2 linked regions of the Arabidopsis thaliana genome follow. The protein of the gene in region 2 interacts with the protein of the main gene of each other region in a pairwise test. Each region holds a gene or a part of one and is shown on either strand. Other genes may lie near its edges.

Region 1 (6,430 bases), on a different chromosome or scaffold from region 2:
TCAAACCAAGGACGGCAACCAAAAAAAAAAAAAAAAGACATTACCAATAGAGAGGTTTCATCAGATTTAACACTTTCGTTCAGACCTAATATATTAGAATATTTTCTTGGCAATCTAAAACTAAAACTTTATGAACTAATCATATAATTTATCTTCTTGATATTTCTGATTTATATTGTCCAAACTAAATAACTTGGTTTTGGTCGAACTTTAGTCATAGACCGGATCAACAACTCTAAAACCTCAAAAGCTTGTCGGGAACTGTGGGATCAGTCCAAAAATAACTCAATTCTTTCGGCTATTATTCATTTTGTCCTAATTGACATATCCTTATCCACAAATTGGGTACACATAAACTATGGTGGATGAATTTCTTTGCTTATGCAAAAATAAGGAGATATTTCGAACGTATTTATTCTCTTTTGCTCGTGGTCGATAAAGACCTTTTTCAGCTGAATACGTATATTCTTTCTTTAGATTAGGACATGTATGAACCTTTAGCCCCTTTTGCATACATGTGCTCATTCATTAGAGTGTCGCATAATATCTTTTAATACGAGGAGTTTTAGAATAAGTAACAAACCTTAGCGTGTGTTCATCAAAAAACTTGCAGAACCAAACAATCTTAAGATCTCTCTCATGACCAAAAAAAGATTGGTGGAATCATTTTAATGTGGTTCCATTAGTCTAGTCCAAGATTGTTCTTTGATACCTTTAGTTCCGCATCTCAAAACATCTTCAAACCAGTAAAAATGACATAAGACATGACATCATATTATTTATCCAGGTCTAGATGTTCAGTGATAATGAGTTACAGAGATAATGAGAACAAGAACGAGAGACAGAGAGATACGAGATCTTACAGACTCCACAAGTGATATTTCATGGCAAGAACTTGTCGAGGCTAGATGTGAGTGTGGTTTTGGGCACTGCACCTATGATTGTATCCTTCTTCTCGCCACCGACAAAGATCATGATCGTTGGGATGCTTCTAACTCCGTACTGGCCGGGAGTATTAGGAGATTCATCAGTGTTTAATTTGTAGAACTTGATCTTCCCAGTGTAATGCTGTGCTAGATCGTTTACAAGCGGATCAATCATCTTGCAAGGTCCACACCATGGTGCCCAAAAGTCGACAACTACAGGCCCAGTTGCTTTAAGAACTAGAGAGTCCCATGTCGAGTCATTGACCACTTGAACTGCAGGATCAATAACACAAATCAACACCTTATTGCCAAAGCTTTTAGAATCATGAATGAAAACAAAATATATCAGCCAAGGTGGACGAATAAAACAAAGAGACAGCTGACCCGTTTATCCATCTTCAGCTAGATCAGTATGTTGTAGCAAGTCTATATGATATTTCCTAAAAATGATCTAGAAGTGAAAGTTTTTCAAAATAGAAATTTGATAGATCCAGTGAAGGATAAAGCTTTATGTTTTCACCAGAGAGGAGAGACCAATGACTGAGTTAACATTGTAGCAGATAATACTGCTAATCTCACCAAACACATTATCACGGAAAAGGACTTACCTATCTAAAATCGTAGAATATCAATGCTAGTGATAACCAAAATCGTTATCTGCTGGTATAGAGAATCAAGATATGTTTACTCTAAAGCACAAAAAGCAACATTCTTCTCTCATGAGCCAAATAACTGTTTCTTGTCACAATGTGTATGATCCAACCAATAAAATATCTGAGTAGGTACCCAACCTAATTTCTAGGTTTGTTAGAGAGACTTTGCATTAATCAAGTAAAATATCCCCAAAAAAGAAGTGATCCTAAAAAGCAACCTTCTTCAAATTTCACGCAAATGGCATGAATCGTTCCTCTAACAGAAACCTCATTTTCAGCAAGAATTTTCTCAAAAGGTATACTCTCCTAAAGAAACTCTTCTTCCTCCTCCAGATTCACTAATCTGTAACTAATCTCAAGTTTTTAGCAGATTACTAAATGCTACAACAAGAACAACAACACAAATTCAAGCACCTTGCTTCTAATTTCCCTCGCACAAATCAATAATCAGTTCTCAAAATCCACCAACGAGCACGAATCAAAGACAAGTTAATAACCAAAATCGAAAAAGGAATAGTGAGAAAACATACTATCGGTAGTAGTTTCCTGAGCTTCACAGACGACGGCTCTTCGTAATCGAGAAACCCTAGGTTGATGAATCGAGGTCAACGAAGCCGGAGAGAGAGAAAGACGGATTCTCAAACCTGATGATTCCGGTAAGACGGCGAACATCCGCCGAGAAGAGAGAGAAGAAGCCGATGGTGATGAGGATACGATTCTGGTCTCGGAGCGGAGAGAAATCGGAGGACGAGAGGTACAAGTGAAAGCAGCCATGGCTATAGATAGAGAGAGGAGAGGTTTCTCCAAATCCCCAAGTGAAAAAATAATATCCAGATAGATAGAGAAAATAAAAAGATAACGAAACTAATGGAAGAGAAAATGTAGACAAAACACTGATGCAGATTTTTTATATATACATCAACACAAACAAATATTTTTGGAAAAATAAGTATTTCTACTAAAAATACAATTAAAATACAGTTGTGAAAAAAATCGAGAAATAATAAATTGAAATATTTTTGAATTTTTTTGATTTGTTGAGCTGTAGATATCATTTGCCCAAAATAACCGAAAAAAGTAGAAAACGAAAACATATTGTAAATTGTTTTTTTAATTGTTTGGGTAAGATAGTGCTCTGACTAAGCCCATCTGTAATAAGCCCATAAAACTTTTGAGATATTTTTTATTGGGCTCATATTAGGCCAGTTGCACTTTTTTTTTTTAATCCAGTCACTTGTGGATTTAACAGAAATTTTAACAAAGTTCCGTTACCCGCAATTTGTGATCTCGGGTCAATTTAATGACTATTTTGGCAACATCAACAAAAAGTTAGCGACTGAAATAAGAAGTCACTAAAAGTTGACTATTGAAATGAAAAGTCAATAAAATTTAAACGTATTATTTTACCCCACACTAATTTTTTTTTTTTTTTTTTTTTTTTTGTATTTTTGAACATTTGAAGATCTCCTGACATTTTTTCGCAATTGTTTTTCTCAAAATTTTCTTTAAAAAAATAAATAAATTATAACGCTTGCTTATAAGATAACTAAAAGTCTAAAATTTTGAATAAAAAACTATTTGGCATGAAAAATTCGCTTTTGTTAACAATTTTCTTCAAAATTGGTTCGTTGAATCCTAAATAATATCTGATGACAAAAAAAAAGATTATAGCAAAAGTATTTTCTTGGAAAACCAACATTTTAAAACTTGATTGGTAATGGTATGACAATTAGCTCTTGAAAAATGAAAACAAAAACAAAATCTTAAAAATCTATAAAACTTTCAAAACCAACATTTTGGATCTGCCTCTTTTTCTTTTTCTTATATACCTCTAGTATTGAGGAACCACTTCAAAGTCTTTCCTCTGATGTCACTTTAGCTCGCTGACATCTCTTCTACTCCTCAATTTCTTTATAATCTCGGTAGATCTCTCTACTAAAGAAATTCCTCCTTTCTTGGTTTCTTCTCAATATTTTGTTTTATTTTTGTTTTCTCTTTCCACATGTCTCTTTTTATTATGTTACAAAAATTTCCTCAATGTTTTCTACGATGTTAGGTTCAATGCGTCCGGTCACCACTTATGTTTTCACTGTAAGAACTCATTATTCCCCAGCCCTATGCGAAGAAAGAAAATGGTGGTAGCTAGAGACCAAGTGATGGATTTTTACAAACGTGTTCATAGTGTCCTCACAGATAAAGAGTTGTCGAAATTAGAAGATTTGAGGCAGCTTATTCGATCAAAATAATCTTACAATAAAGAAGTTATCTTCAACACCGACATCATATCTCTTTTATATGATTCACAGTGTCATTGATGAAATGAAAAGTTGGTTGATAATATTTGTTGCGTTGGGGATGGGTTATTTGATGTTCGAATCCTGGGTTTTGTTTAAAAATTTCGTCTATTAATGTATATAGCTTAGATTGTTGTATATAAGCTTAGTTTGGTTAGTATAGATTTCATATAGAGTCTGTACAGGTTGGTATTCTATAAACCAATCTTAATTTTGGTTTAGAGGCTTATGGTTTAGGCCAATATCAGTTTGTATATAAACCCCCAATTGTACTCTTTTGCTAATTAATGAGAATGAGATTGTTTTACTAATATGGTATCAGAGCAAAATATCTCGATCTCAGTCTCGTAACAAACTTTTCCGATTTGATTTCACTGGAATCTCACCGGAGTTTGTTCATCTTCTCATTTTTTTTCTTCTCTTGAACTTCTACACGTTTTCTCTTCGTTTCCTTTGCGATCCAGTCTCATTTGTTAGCTGTTTCGATTCTCCATGGGTAAACGAAATGGAAAGAGTGTTCGTCGGAGTAGTTCACCGGATCTACTTGTCATTGCTTCATCGAAGATTCATGAGCAGTCTTCTGGTTCATCAGCAAGAGCTCCAGGATCCTCGATTCATGCTGCGATTCATCAACCAGCTCAATACAGCTCATCGCGTCACTTTGAGGTATCGGATTCTCCTGATAATAGTCACAGTCCTTATCATCTTGTTAGCTCCGATCATCCTGGTTTAGTCTTAGCTCCAGAACTGTTAGATGGAAACAGCTATGGTACCTGGATTATAGCCATGACTACTAGCATTGAAGCTAAGAATAAGCTTGGATTTGTGGATGGATCTATTCCAAAACCTGATGATGATGATCCTTATTGCAAAATCTGGCGTCGTTGTAACAGTATGGTTAAGTCTTGGCTTCTGAATAGTGTATCGAAGGAGATCTATACAAGCATCTTGTATTTTCCCACAGCCGCTGCAATCTGGAAAGATCTCTATACTCGATTTCACAAATCTAGCCTCCCTCGACTTTACAAGCTGCGTCAACAGATTCACTCTCTTCGTCAAGGCAATCTGGATTTGTCATCGTATCATACTCGTAAACAAACTCTTTGGGAAGAATTGACGAGTCTTCAGGCTATTCCACGGACTGTAGAAGATCTTCTGATTGAAAGAGAGACTAATAGAGTCATTGATTTTCTTATGGGACTCAATGATTGTTATGATGCTGTTAGAAGTCAGATTCTCATGAAGAAAACTTTGCCTTCTTTGTCTGAGGTATTCAACATGATTGATCAGGATGAAATTCAACGTTCTGCAAGGATTTCTACTACTCCAGGAATGACTTCATCAGTGTTTGCAGTCTCCAATCAGTCTTCACAATCTGTTCTTAATGGAGACACCTATCAGAAAAAGGAGAGGCCAGTTTGTACTTACTGTAGTCGCCCTGGTCATGTTGAAGACACTTGTTACAAGAAACATGGTTATCCAACTTCTTTCAAGTCTAAGCAAATTGCAAATACTGAATTGCAAATTGTAGATCCGTTCACCAAGCTTTTGTATCCATCGCACTTCCAACGTCTAATAAGCAAGATGGGTCTACTCAACATCTTCGTCCCATCTTGAGGGGGACTATTAATGTATATAGCTTAGATTGTTGTATATAAGCTTAGTTTGGTTAGTATAGATTTCATATAGAGTCTGTACAGGTTGGTATTCTATAAACCAATCTTAATTTTGGTTTAGAGGCTTATGGTTTAGGCCAATGTCAGTTTGTATATAAACCCCCAATTGTACTCTTTTGCTAATTAATGAGAATGAGATTGTTTTACTAATATCGTCAACAATCTCATCGTCTTTTTCCCAACAAATGTTGGTTTTGAAGTTGAATGATGTGGGTTCTATAATGTTCATGGACTCAGTCTGCTTATACGATTCTAAGTTTCTTGACTAGAAACTAATGGTAAATTTGTTATAATGATTGATCAGCACAAGTACTAATTACTACCAAACGAATAAAATTTTAGTCATTTGTATTAGTATCAATGTGTTATCACTTATCACTTAAGTTTGTTAAATATTTTTATAATTGTTAATTGTAAACTAAATATTTTTTTAGTCATTTGTATCAGTAACAATGTAGTCTTGAATCTCCAAATATTATAGAATTTTTTTGCTTTAGATTTCAGTTAACAATTTTTCTACAAGGTTTGTTCATACGATATATCCGCCACAAGGTATGTTAATAAGCTATTGGTCGTCGCTGGTTTTTGATCTTCATACTTGATAAGTGATAACTAAATCTTGGTAGTTGGTTTAAAGAAAACAATAATGTTAAAACAATGCAAAAGGAAACGGGCTTGGGATGTTAACACGTTCTAAGTTCGATTCACCTGCTCTGCGAAACTTAAATATATTTTCTTGGATATCTTATATCTACATAGATATGGGTCCATGTTTACGGTTCATTTCAATATCTGAAGAAAGGATTTTATCTATGAGATGCACCTTCCTCAGAGATTATTTTGGATTCTTTCGTAGGTTTATGATTCTAAATTAACAAAAA
Region 2 (9,730 bases):
AAAGTATAAGGGAAATGTTGTATTGAGTCTACTAAAGATAAGTTAAAACGATTTAATATTAAAATTTCTAATTTAATTAAGTATAAATGATTAATAATACATTTTTATCTGTTAATAACTCACTGTATTCATTTTCATTGACTTTTGAGGTAAACAAATTCGAACTCCATAACACCAACTTAGTATTACCAGTAGTACTAATATGACCACAAATTCGACAGAAACAGACATGATATTACTTGTTATAACCAGTATTACAAAAAAACAATAGAAACAGACATAGTACTATAGAAGGGGAAATACAGTATTACATAGTAAGTCCATACCATAAAAACAACAAATCACTGCAAAAACAAAGTAAAAAACTCAGATAGGCGTATTCCCAAATAATAACCATTGACACGATTGCCTTGGACGCCTTTTGTTTTGCGTCCTTTGTCGTTTTGGCCGCTTTTCCCCGGTTGATGGAAACCTTAGCATTTTTTTGCTTCCTTTCTTCGGTTTTTTAGACAGCGGAACTATCTTCAACGCCTTTACTTCATCTGGTACTTCCCACTGCGACCTATCCGGAACAAGATAAATAGTCCTATAATAGGCCAATGCCCACAACTCCGCCCAATAATATTTTGTAACCAAATCATGTTACTCCAAACCTCTTCTCCGATCTTCATCATCCATAATGTTAATGAAAGCGGCTAATGCATGAATACAAGGATATTTTTGGATATCGAAAACCTTGCAACTGCAAGTTTTCAAAAGCAAGCTCACCGTATAATCTATTCCTTTGTCGCATGTGACTACATATTCACGCTCGAATGAGTTTAGTTCCACCACTTTTAGCTTCTCGGCAAAAACCCACAAATCATGCAAATAATTCTCGACCAAAGGCACCATCTTATTTTCTAAGGATCCAGACGCGGCTTCCATCCGATGTTCATTAAACCAAACGGAGATTTTTTTGATGATCGCATCAAGCATTGGTATTAACGAGTATTTCCTTGCGTTTTTAAACACATTGTTCAAAGATTCCACACAATTGCTTGTGTCTAAGTTGTATCTTTCTCCGGGAAAACAACACCTTGCCCATTTTTCTTTCACGGTTGTATCCTCCAAATACTTGGTCGCCTTAGGATATCTCAACTTAAACCCGTCATACGCTCGGTTGAAGTCTGCCACGACGTAGACCCGACTTAACTCCTGAAACTTCCATGCGAGTACATCTCGGTTGGTGTGAGTAGCATGACCTTTCACATTTTGGGACAAATGCCAAATACAATACCCGTGATGAGCCGCGGTATACACGTTCCGTATGGCCTTTATGAGGCTTGCATTTCTGTCCGTCATGAAAACCAATTCTGAAGTATCGGGTACAACCGTTTTTAGCTTCTCGAAAAACCACTCCCAACTAGCATCATTCTCACCGTCGAGTACGGCAAACGCTATGATGTAATGGTGACGGTTAGGATCTTGAGCCGAGGCAAACACTAGCACTCCGCCATATCCGTTCTTCAAATGTGTTGCATCCACAATTAAAACTTTCCTCATCACTCTAAAACCTTCAATGCTAGCTCCCAAAGCTACGAATATGTACTGAAATTTATCATTCTCATCCAATTTCAGATAAGTAACTGTACCATCATTTACCTTCTTCAACATGTATAAATAACAATTGATATCCTTGTAGCTTTTTTCCGGGCTACCTTTTAAATCATAAATCGCATGATATTTCCCCCTTAGCGCTGTCGAGTATGATACTTTCACACCTAATTTCGTCTGAACTAGCTCCATGATAATTCTTGGAACCGGAGTTTCCAACTGTCCCGAAAAATGATCATGAAGGAGAGCTGCGACTAATTGTGGGTTGCCTTTTTTTTTCCTGAGCCTACTACTACCTTTACTTAGCCGAGTGCAACTATGCATCTTATTATACCTTCTAATCGAGAATATATCAATATTACTGATATTGGACGCTCGTAAACGCCAAGAACAGCTCTCTTTGGCACACTTTAGGACATAGCGCTCCTTATCCGACTTCTTAATCACATAACCAAAAATGGTAGCAAATACAGCTCTATCCACCACCTCGTGCAATGCCGCCTTGTTTGGAAATTCTTGACGTAAGGTCAACCCAATTCCGTCTTCCCATTCTTTCTTAAACATACCCGGTTCTACAACAGGTGGCGACTCAACATACTGTTCCCCCCTATCAGAATCATCCATAGACTCATCATAGCGTGTTTCATCTTCTTGAGTCTCGTGATCCTCCACTATTGCCTCAAGTTGATGTTGAGTTCCGTGATCCTCCACTATTGCCTCAAGTTGATGTTGAGTCCCGTGATCCTCCACTATTGCCTCAAGTTGATGTTGAGTTCCTTGTTCCTCTTCTAATAAGACGATGAGTGCACCATCATCCACTCTCATTTCATCCTCCTCTGTATAGTTCTTACCAACAGAACTTTTACCAACTCTAGACAATTGCTCGGGCAATTGCTCCGGCTCGGGCGGTTTAGAGATCTCCTCCACAACCAAAACACTTCTTCAGTTATTTTTTGCGGATGTTACATAAACAAAGACATCCTCATCATCACAAACGTTCATTTCTTCCTCTACTCCGAACAACCGTGGATTGTACCTCATATGCAATTTTACCTTATTTGCATCTAATCCAAGCTTCGTCATTATCCTATCTTCTAACATTGAGAGAGTAATCTTCTCCCCTAATGTCTTCATCATCACATTATACATGCGACCTTGGAATTTAAAATATATGATCACGTTCTCTTTCATTGTAACCTGCCAAAACAATACACATACTCAGTCAATATTACTAGTATTATCGATTCTAGTACATTTTCAGTAATACTATTACTAATTCTGAAATATTACATGTGTGAGTAATACTATTACATATATGAAATACTACGTGTCTAAGTAATATTGGTGCTATTAAAACATACTATCTATATAAATTACGGTACTACTATAGTTAGTGCGACCAGTATTATTTTCGCGACAAGAACAAATATTCGATTTGAGTTCAATTTAGTATGAATCAGCATGTGAAATCAATTGCTTACCCATTAACAGACCAAATGAAGCCTAAATCTATACTTAAACTTCTAATGTAGGTGCTAAAACACAATAATCCAAATCTAATTTGATTGAATTTCAAAATCCTCAAAATATGTAATTCAAAGCTTTTGAAGCTCTCTCCATACCTGGACTTAGTAGATTGATGCAGCTTGCAGGAGGAGAAAAACGACAATGCGGCTCGCCGGAGGAAGAAGCCCGAAGAAGAACGAGCTCGAGCTTTTTTTTTTTTTCCGTTTTTTTTTTTTTCAAAATGTTTTCTAGAAATATTAATTATTCATTCAAAATAAAATACAGGGGTAAATTCGTCTTAACACAATTCATTAACTCAAAGGAGATAGGAAGACTCTAAAGTGGTTTTGCAGATTAGTTGTCCCACAAAAGGGACACAAGAGATGATCATTCTAAATAATGACTAGGATTCAACCTGTGTTTTATTATTTTGGGTGATTGTTGTATATTTAGTAGGAGAATATATTTTAATGTCGTCAAGCATGTGTACTATTTAATAAGTTTGTATGTAATTTTAAGATAGTTAAAGTAGTTAAATAAATGTGAAAAAGTTTAAGTATTCATAAGTTTTAGGCATTAAAATTTTTCTTATACTTTGTTTTTTTTAGATTAAAAATATTTTGAACTTTTTTGATATGATTTATAAAAATCAATAATACTCAAAAAGTAAATGACAGAAAGATTAATGATAAAATTTTAATTAAGTAAAATATTTTAAACAAAATGAATAGGTTTTTTAAATTTTTATTGTAAGTAATTCTACAAAATGTGGTTAAATTAGGTGAAAATAGAATCTTAGAAATAATATTTGTATAAATGATGCTCATTATTCATCATGCTAAATTGGAGTCTTTGTTAATCAGAGAAGTCAGCTTATGCAGTATATTTAGAAAAAGCCAAAAAGGCTAGAAAGAGATAACATAAAACAACTTTCCTTTGTTGTTGTTATAAGTAAAACATTTACGAAAAATCCCGGATATTCACCTAGTAAATTAATAAAGTGTGCATAAGAGAGTACTAAAATGAATAAAGTATGAAATTTACTGCTAAACCAAAATCACCTTTCCAGCGAATTGTGGTCGTTCGAATGGAATAATCCGGTTAAGCTATACCAGAGATGGATGTTAATACGGTTTACTTTCTTGAGAAAAAAAGAATTTATGCAAAGAAAAATAAAACTTTTTTGACAAATAAGATATGTGGATAATGTGAGAGATAAGAAATATCGAAAACTATATAATAAAACTACTGTTGTGGATAATGTAAGAGACGATACAAATAGCCTCATAAGGCAAAAAACAATGGCATCATCATCATCATCACATTTGTTTTGACGCTCCAAGAAAATTTGCATGGCGACACATTCTATGATCATTCCTTCTCCTTCTTCTTCTTCCTCGTCTCTCGCTACTGCTGCGTCTCCGTTTAAAGAGACTCTACCACTCTTTAGTAGATCTCTCACATTCCCGAGAAAATCCTTGTTTTCTCAGGTTCGCTTGAGATTCTTCGCCGAGAAACATTCTCAGCTTGATACTTCAAATGGGTGTGCCACTAATTTCGCTTCTTTACAAGATTGTGAGTTTCTTCTCCAGTTTCTATGTGACTAGATTAGTTTTTGATAGAATTCTTGATGAAGTTTCTTGTACCTGTCGTTGATTGTGTTGTTAGGATTGTAACAGTTTTATGTCTATTGAAGAAAGTTGTTCAAGATTGTATCTTTATGACCTTTTATACTCAAAGATACCATCTTTGATTGTAAAGTTTATGTCTTTGAGTATTCTAGGATTGAATGTAGAAGATTAGAGTGATTGTGAGTTGGTTAGATAGCAATGAGTAAGGGTTTGGTTTTGGAATTTGGTTAATAAAGTCTCTTTCTTTATGAACTGAAGTAGTTTTGTAGCCTCTGTCTGTGTTTTTGACGATTGAAGAAAGTAGTTCAAGATTGTATCTTTTGTACTCAAGGATACCATTTCTCATCTAAGGATTATGTCTTTGAGTATTCTAGGATTGAATGTAGTAGATTAGAGTGATTGTGAGGTAGTGAGGGTTTGGTTTAGCAATTTGGTTGATAAAGTCTCTCTTTTTATGAATTGAAGTAGTTTTGTAGCTTTTGTTTGTGTTTTTGATTCTTTGGAGGATGGTTTTTACCAAATTGTTTCAGCTGGAGATCAACTTACAGAGGAACATGTTACAAAAGGAGAGTCTACTCTTAGTATTACAGTTGTTGGAGCGTCAGGGGACTTAGCCAAGAAGAAGATATTTCCTGCATTGTTTGCTCTCTTTTATGAGGGTTGTCTTCCTCAGGACTTTTCTGTTTTTGGTTATGCTCGGACTAAACTCACTCATGAAGAGCTTCGTGACATGATTAGTAGTACTTTAACTTGCCGGATTGATCAGAGGTATATTCTGCTATACGTTTTTAGTGTATGTTTTAGTTAAAGTTTATGCTTTGGTTATATGAACAAAAGTTGGAATCAACAGGGAAAAATGTGGGGATAAGATGGAGCAGTTCTTGAAAAGATGCTTTTACCATTCGGGTCAGTATAACTCGGAAGAGGATTTTGCGGAACTAAACAAGAAGCTCAAAGAGAAAGAGGTAATTTTCTTTCACTCTCTCTATGCTTATTTCTTGTACCAATGGCACGAAGCACATTTCTAATTCCTTTCTGCTTTGTAGGCAGGAAAGATATCAAACAGGCTGTACTATTTGTCGATACCCCCAAACATATTCGTTGATGTGGTTAGGTGTGCAAGTCTTAGAGCCTCCTCAGAGAATGGCTGGACAAGGGTCATTGTGGAAAAGCCATTTGGTCGTGACTCTGAATCATCCGGAGAGTTAACTAGATGTCTGAAACAGTATCTTACAGAGGAGCAAATCTTCAGGTTAGCCATTTCCTTAGCCCAACAGCCATCACTGCCATTCATTTTTAAGCTGGAACTTAACTGCAATGTTATGTGACATACGTAGGATTGATCACTATTTGGGAAAGGAGCTTGTTGAGAACCTTTCAGTGCTCCGATTCTCAAATCTTGTTTTCGAGCCTCTGTGGTCAAGAAATTACATACGCAACGTTCAGCTGATTTTTTCTGAGGATTTCGGAACAGAAGGGCGTGGAGGGTAAGCTTTCATAAACAACTTACAAAGCATGAACACTGAACACCTTTGATCAGTATGACACTGAACACCTTACTAATGTTAAATCGATGCAGTTACTTTGATCAATATGGAATCATACGAGACATCATGCAAAACCATCTCTTGCAAATACTTGCACTTTTTGCAATGGAGACGCCAGTGAGCTTAGATGCTGAGGACATAAGAAGTGAAAAGGTAAGACTTTTTTCACTAAGAAGAAAAGCTTTAGGTTGGTTATAAAATACTATACCGATGATTATGTGTTCCTGTAAGGTGAAAGTTTTGAGATCAATGAAACCGTTGCGGCTTGAAGATGTGGTTGTTGGTCAATACAAAGGCCATAACAAGGGAGGAAAAACTTATCCAGGTTATACAGACGATCCAACGGTTCCAAATCACAGTCTCACTCCTACATTTGCTGCAGCAGCCATGTTCATCAACAATGCGAGATGGGACGGTGTTCCTTTTCTTATGAAAGCTGGAAAAGCTCTCCATACCAGAGGAGCAGAGATCAGAGTTCAGTTCAGACATGTCCCAGGAAACTTGTACAAGAAAAGTTTTGCTACTAATTTAGACAATGCAACAAATGAACTAGTGATTAGAGTTCAGCCTGATGAAGGGATATACCTGAGGATCAACAACAAAGTTCCTGGTCTTGGAATGAGACTAGATCGCAGCGACCTTAACCTTCTATATCGATCCAGGTACAACAATGCATACTACTGATTCTAGTTTTCCTATAGAGATTATTTATTTATATTCTTTTGGGGTTGATAGGTATCCAAGAGAGATACCAGATGCATATGAAAGACTGCTTCTCGATGCAATCGAAGGAGAGAGGAGGTTGTTTATCAGAAGTGATGAGCTAGATGCAGCATGGGATCTATTCACACCGGCTTTGAAGGAACTAGAGGAGAAGAAAATCATTCCTGAGCTCTATCCATATGGAAGCAGAGGTCCTGTTGGTGCACATTACCTTGCATCTAAGTACAATGTGAGATGGGGAGATCTTGGAGAAGCTTAAGCTTTCGACAGAAACAATATGATTTGGTGTTAATATGAGTAAACTAACTTGTCGATATTATCAATGCGTAGATAAATCCTTGTTACCAAAACTTGCTTTTTCTCTGACATTTTTTGATTGTTTTTGGTTCTAAATCGAGCATTTCGGAGGAATGTACCAAAACTCTTGCAGGAATAGACCATTTCCATCATTGCAACAGGTTTAGAGGAGAGATCTGAGATAACACAAAGGTATATTGAACAATGCAGTAACTTAAGTAGACAAAACAACAAACCATACTTATGACAAAATAGTTTATTTTCAAACAATGATAAAGAACTGAGACAACAGAGGAGACAGACAAGTTACTTAACACTTCCAACAAGTTACTACTATGCTAAAAAGGCAAAAACCTCAAGAATCACTTGAAACTATATAAATGAAACCTCAAGAGACAAATGAAAATATCAGAGAGCTACTATGTCTCAAGAGGAAAGCAGAGGACTCCACGGCACCTGAAAGTCCAAAGACTGATATTGTCGCCAGCCTTTAAGCCGTTACCTTTGACTACATCGTTCCAACCCCAATTCAAAATGTAATTCAATGTTCCGTGTCCAGAGTCCTTCTCCATCGCCCATATCTTGAAACGCAAACCCCACATTTTAGATCTTTGGTTCACAAGAATCGTTCCCACACCAATATTCTTGTCATCTTCGTTGTCTTCGTCTTTCTGTATGGCTCTACACTCCGCAGGCGTCAAGAAGTCGTTTCTGATTAGCTGCTGGAAAGGGATTAAGAGACGGCTCAGGCCTGATTTGACATCACTATTGAACAGAGTCCTCTCAAATATCAGCCTCGGGGTTTCAGCATCAGCGTTCATGTATCTCATCACCTGGAAAACCCACTCTGGCGTCTCTATAGACATCCTTGGCAAAGAAACAACCCTCGCTTTCTTGAGTTTACCACTCTTCCTCTGCTGCACGGCACGCCTCTTGCGGCTTTTGTTCTCCGTTAGGCATGAAGACGAAGATGAAGATTGGTAATTAGGGTTTGTTAGGTTTTTCTTCTCTGTCTTCCCCAACTTAGCCGTGTTGTAATCCAAGGGTAACGAAGGATCATAACAACGAAGGTTCAAGAACGATGAAGACGCAGAAGCCCCATTATACACCAACTAACGGCTCATCAAAACTAGGGTTTTGTTGGGTTTTCAAGTCGTAATCAGTGGTGATTAGGTTCAGATCGAGAACCGCTGAAGAAGTAGAAGCCCCGTTAGGGTTTTGCTGCGTGTATCTTCTCTTCACCAAAGACGATCTGATTTTTCTCGGGAAACGATAGAAGAAACTCTTGTCGCTATCTTCTTCTTTAGAGACAGTCTTTAGAAGACGACGAAATTGTTCTTCTTCCGCAACCATAACCGCAACTTCGGCCAGTAAACAAAGACTCGAACACATATCCTTCCCTGAATCCGTGAGATCGTACATAGTCATTGTAATGGAACCGAAAGACTCGAAAGCTCTGAGAATGAAGTCGTGAGGAACAAGGAAATTAGAAAGATGGAGAGCCGCTGATCGAATAATGCAGAAAAAAGTTGCCTTCTCTTTAAGGAAAGAGGGTAGGGCTTTTTGTTGTTTCCATTTTTCTTTTGAGTTTAGTGGTTTAATTACTGTGATTAGTAACTAATTATAGCCGTTGTGATCAAGTTAACGTTTCTATTTAAGATTTAGTCCCCATATCTTTCGATTATTACGAAATTGCACCACTTATTTCGTCATATGAATTCACCCCACATCTTTCGGTAGACAGAATCCATTGCCAATTCTTATGATTTATTATGTTGTTGTAAAGTATAATTTTTTAGAGTCGCTGACTGAATCTAAATGAATCATATTATCCTCTTATAATTATAATACACAGAATCCATTGCCAATTCTGATAATTTCTTAAGAATTGATTTATATTATCCTCTTATAATTATAATAGAATTTAATCTTAATTTTAAAAATTATTATTATAAATTTCACTAATTTTAAAAATTACTTATTTATTACCTTTTTACACACTATATAACGTTTTATAGTTTTTCATAAATCTTGTTAAATCCTCCTCTTCATTAGATATATTTGCCATCATTTATTTTTCTTTTTTCTTTTTTTCTACTGCCATTTATTTTTCATTTCTTAAATATCTTTTTAATACTTTTTAAAGCCCATCCTCCACAATGATATGAACTAGAAAATCTTTTATTATAAATAATTGACCAAAAAACTTATGTTTTTTTTGGTAAAAAATACTTAAGTTTGTACATACTTATTTGCATATTTGTTTTATGGCAACACTCATCTATATTTCGAGAAAAGAGGCATGTGTTTTTCTTCTTTAGATTTATATATATATATATATATATATATATATATATAAAATATATTTTTTGTAAAAGGATTATATATATATATATATATATATATATATATAGTTCAATATTAACTTAT

What was found. Proteins that work in one complex are often made in the same cells at the same time.
Region 1: the proteins of G6PD1 (region 2) and ATHM2 interact in a two-hybrid assay, tested with the Arabidopsis thaliana proteins (one study listed by BioGRID).

Annotation. Positions count from the first base shown.
Region 1 is NC_003075.7:1,561,703-1,568,132, forward strand, and holds ATHM2 (Thioredoxin superfamily protein), read right to left. Parts: upstream 2,503-6,430; 5' UTR 2,354-2,502; coding exon 2,110-2,353; intron 1,694-2,109; exon of another isoform or gene 1,535-1,693; intron 1,200-1,534; coding exon 883-1,199; 3' UTR 501-882; downstream 1-500. UniProt on the Arabidopsis thaliana protein: Thiol-disulfide oxidoreductase that may participate in various redox reactions. May activate NADP-malate dehydrogenase.
Region 2 is NC_003076.8:13,954,411-13,964,140, reverse strand, and holds G6PD1 (glucose-6-phosphate dehydrogenase 1), read left to right. Parts: upstream 1-4,310; 5' UTR 4,311-4,454; coding exon 4,455-4,677; intron 4,678-5,263; coding exon 5,264-5,501; intron 5,502-5,583; coding exon 5,584-5,698; intron 5,699-5,779; coding exon 5,780-5,985; intron 5,986-6,070; coding exon 6,071-6,220; intron 6,221-6,312; coding exon 6,313-6,433; intron 6,434-6,511; coding exon 6,512-6,942; intron 6,943-7,015; coding exon 7,016-7,262; 3' UTR 7,263-7,469; downstream 7,470-9,730. UniProt on the Arabidopsis thaliana protein: Catalyzes the rate-limiting step of the oxidative pentose-phosphate pathway, which represents a route for the dissimilation of carbohydrates besides glycolysis.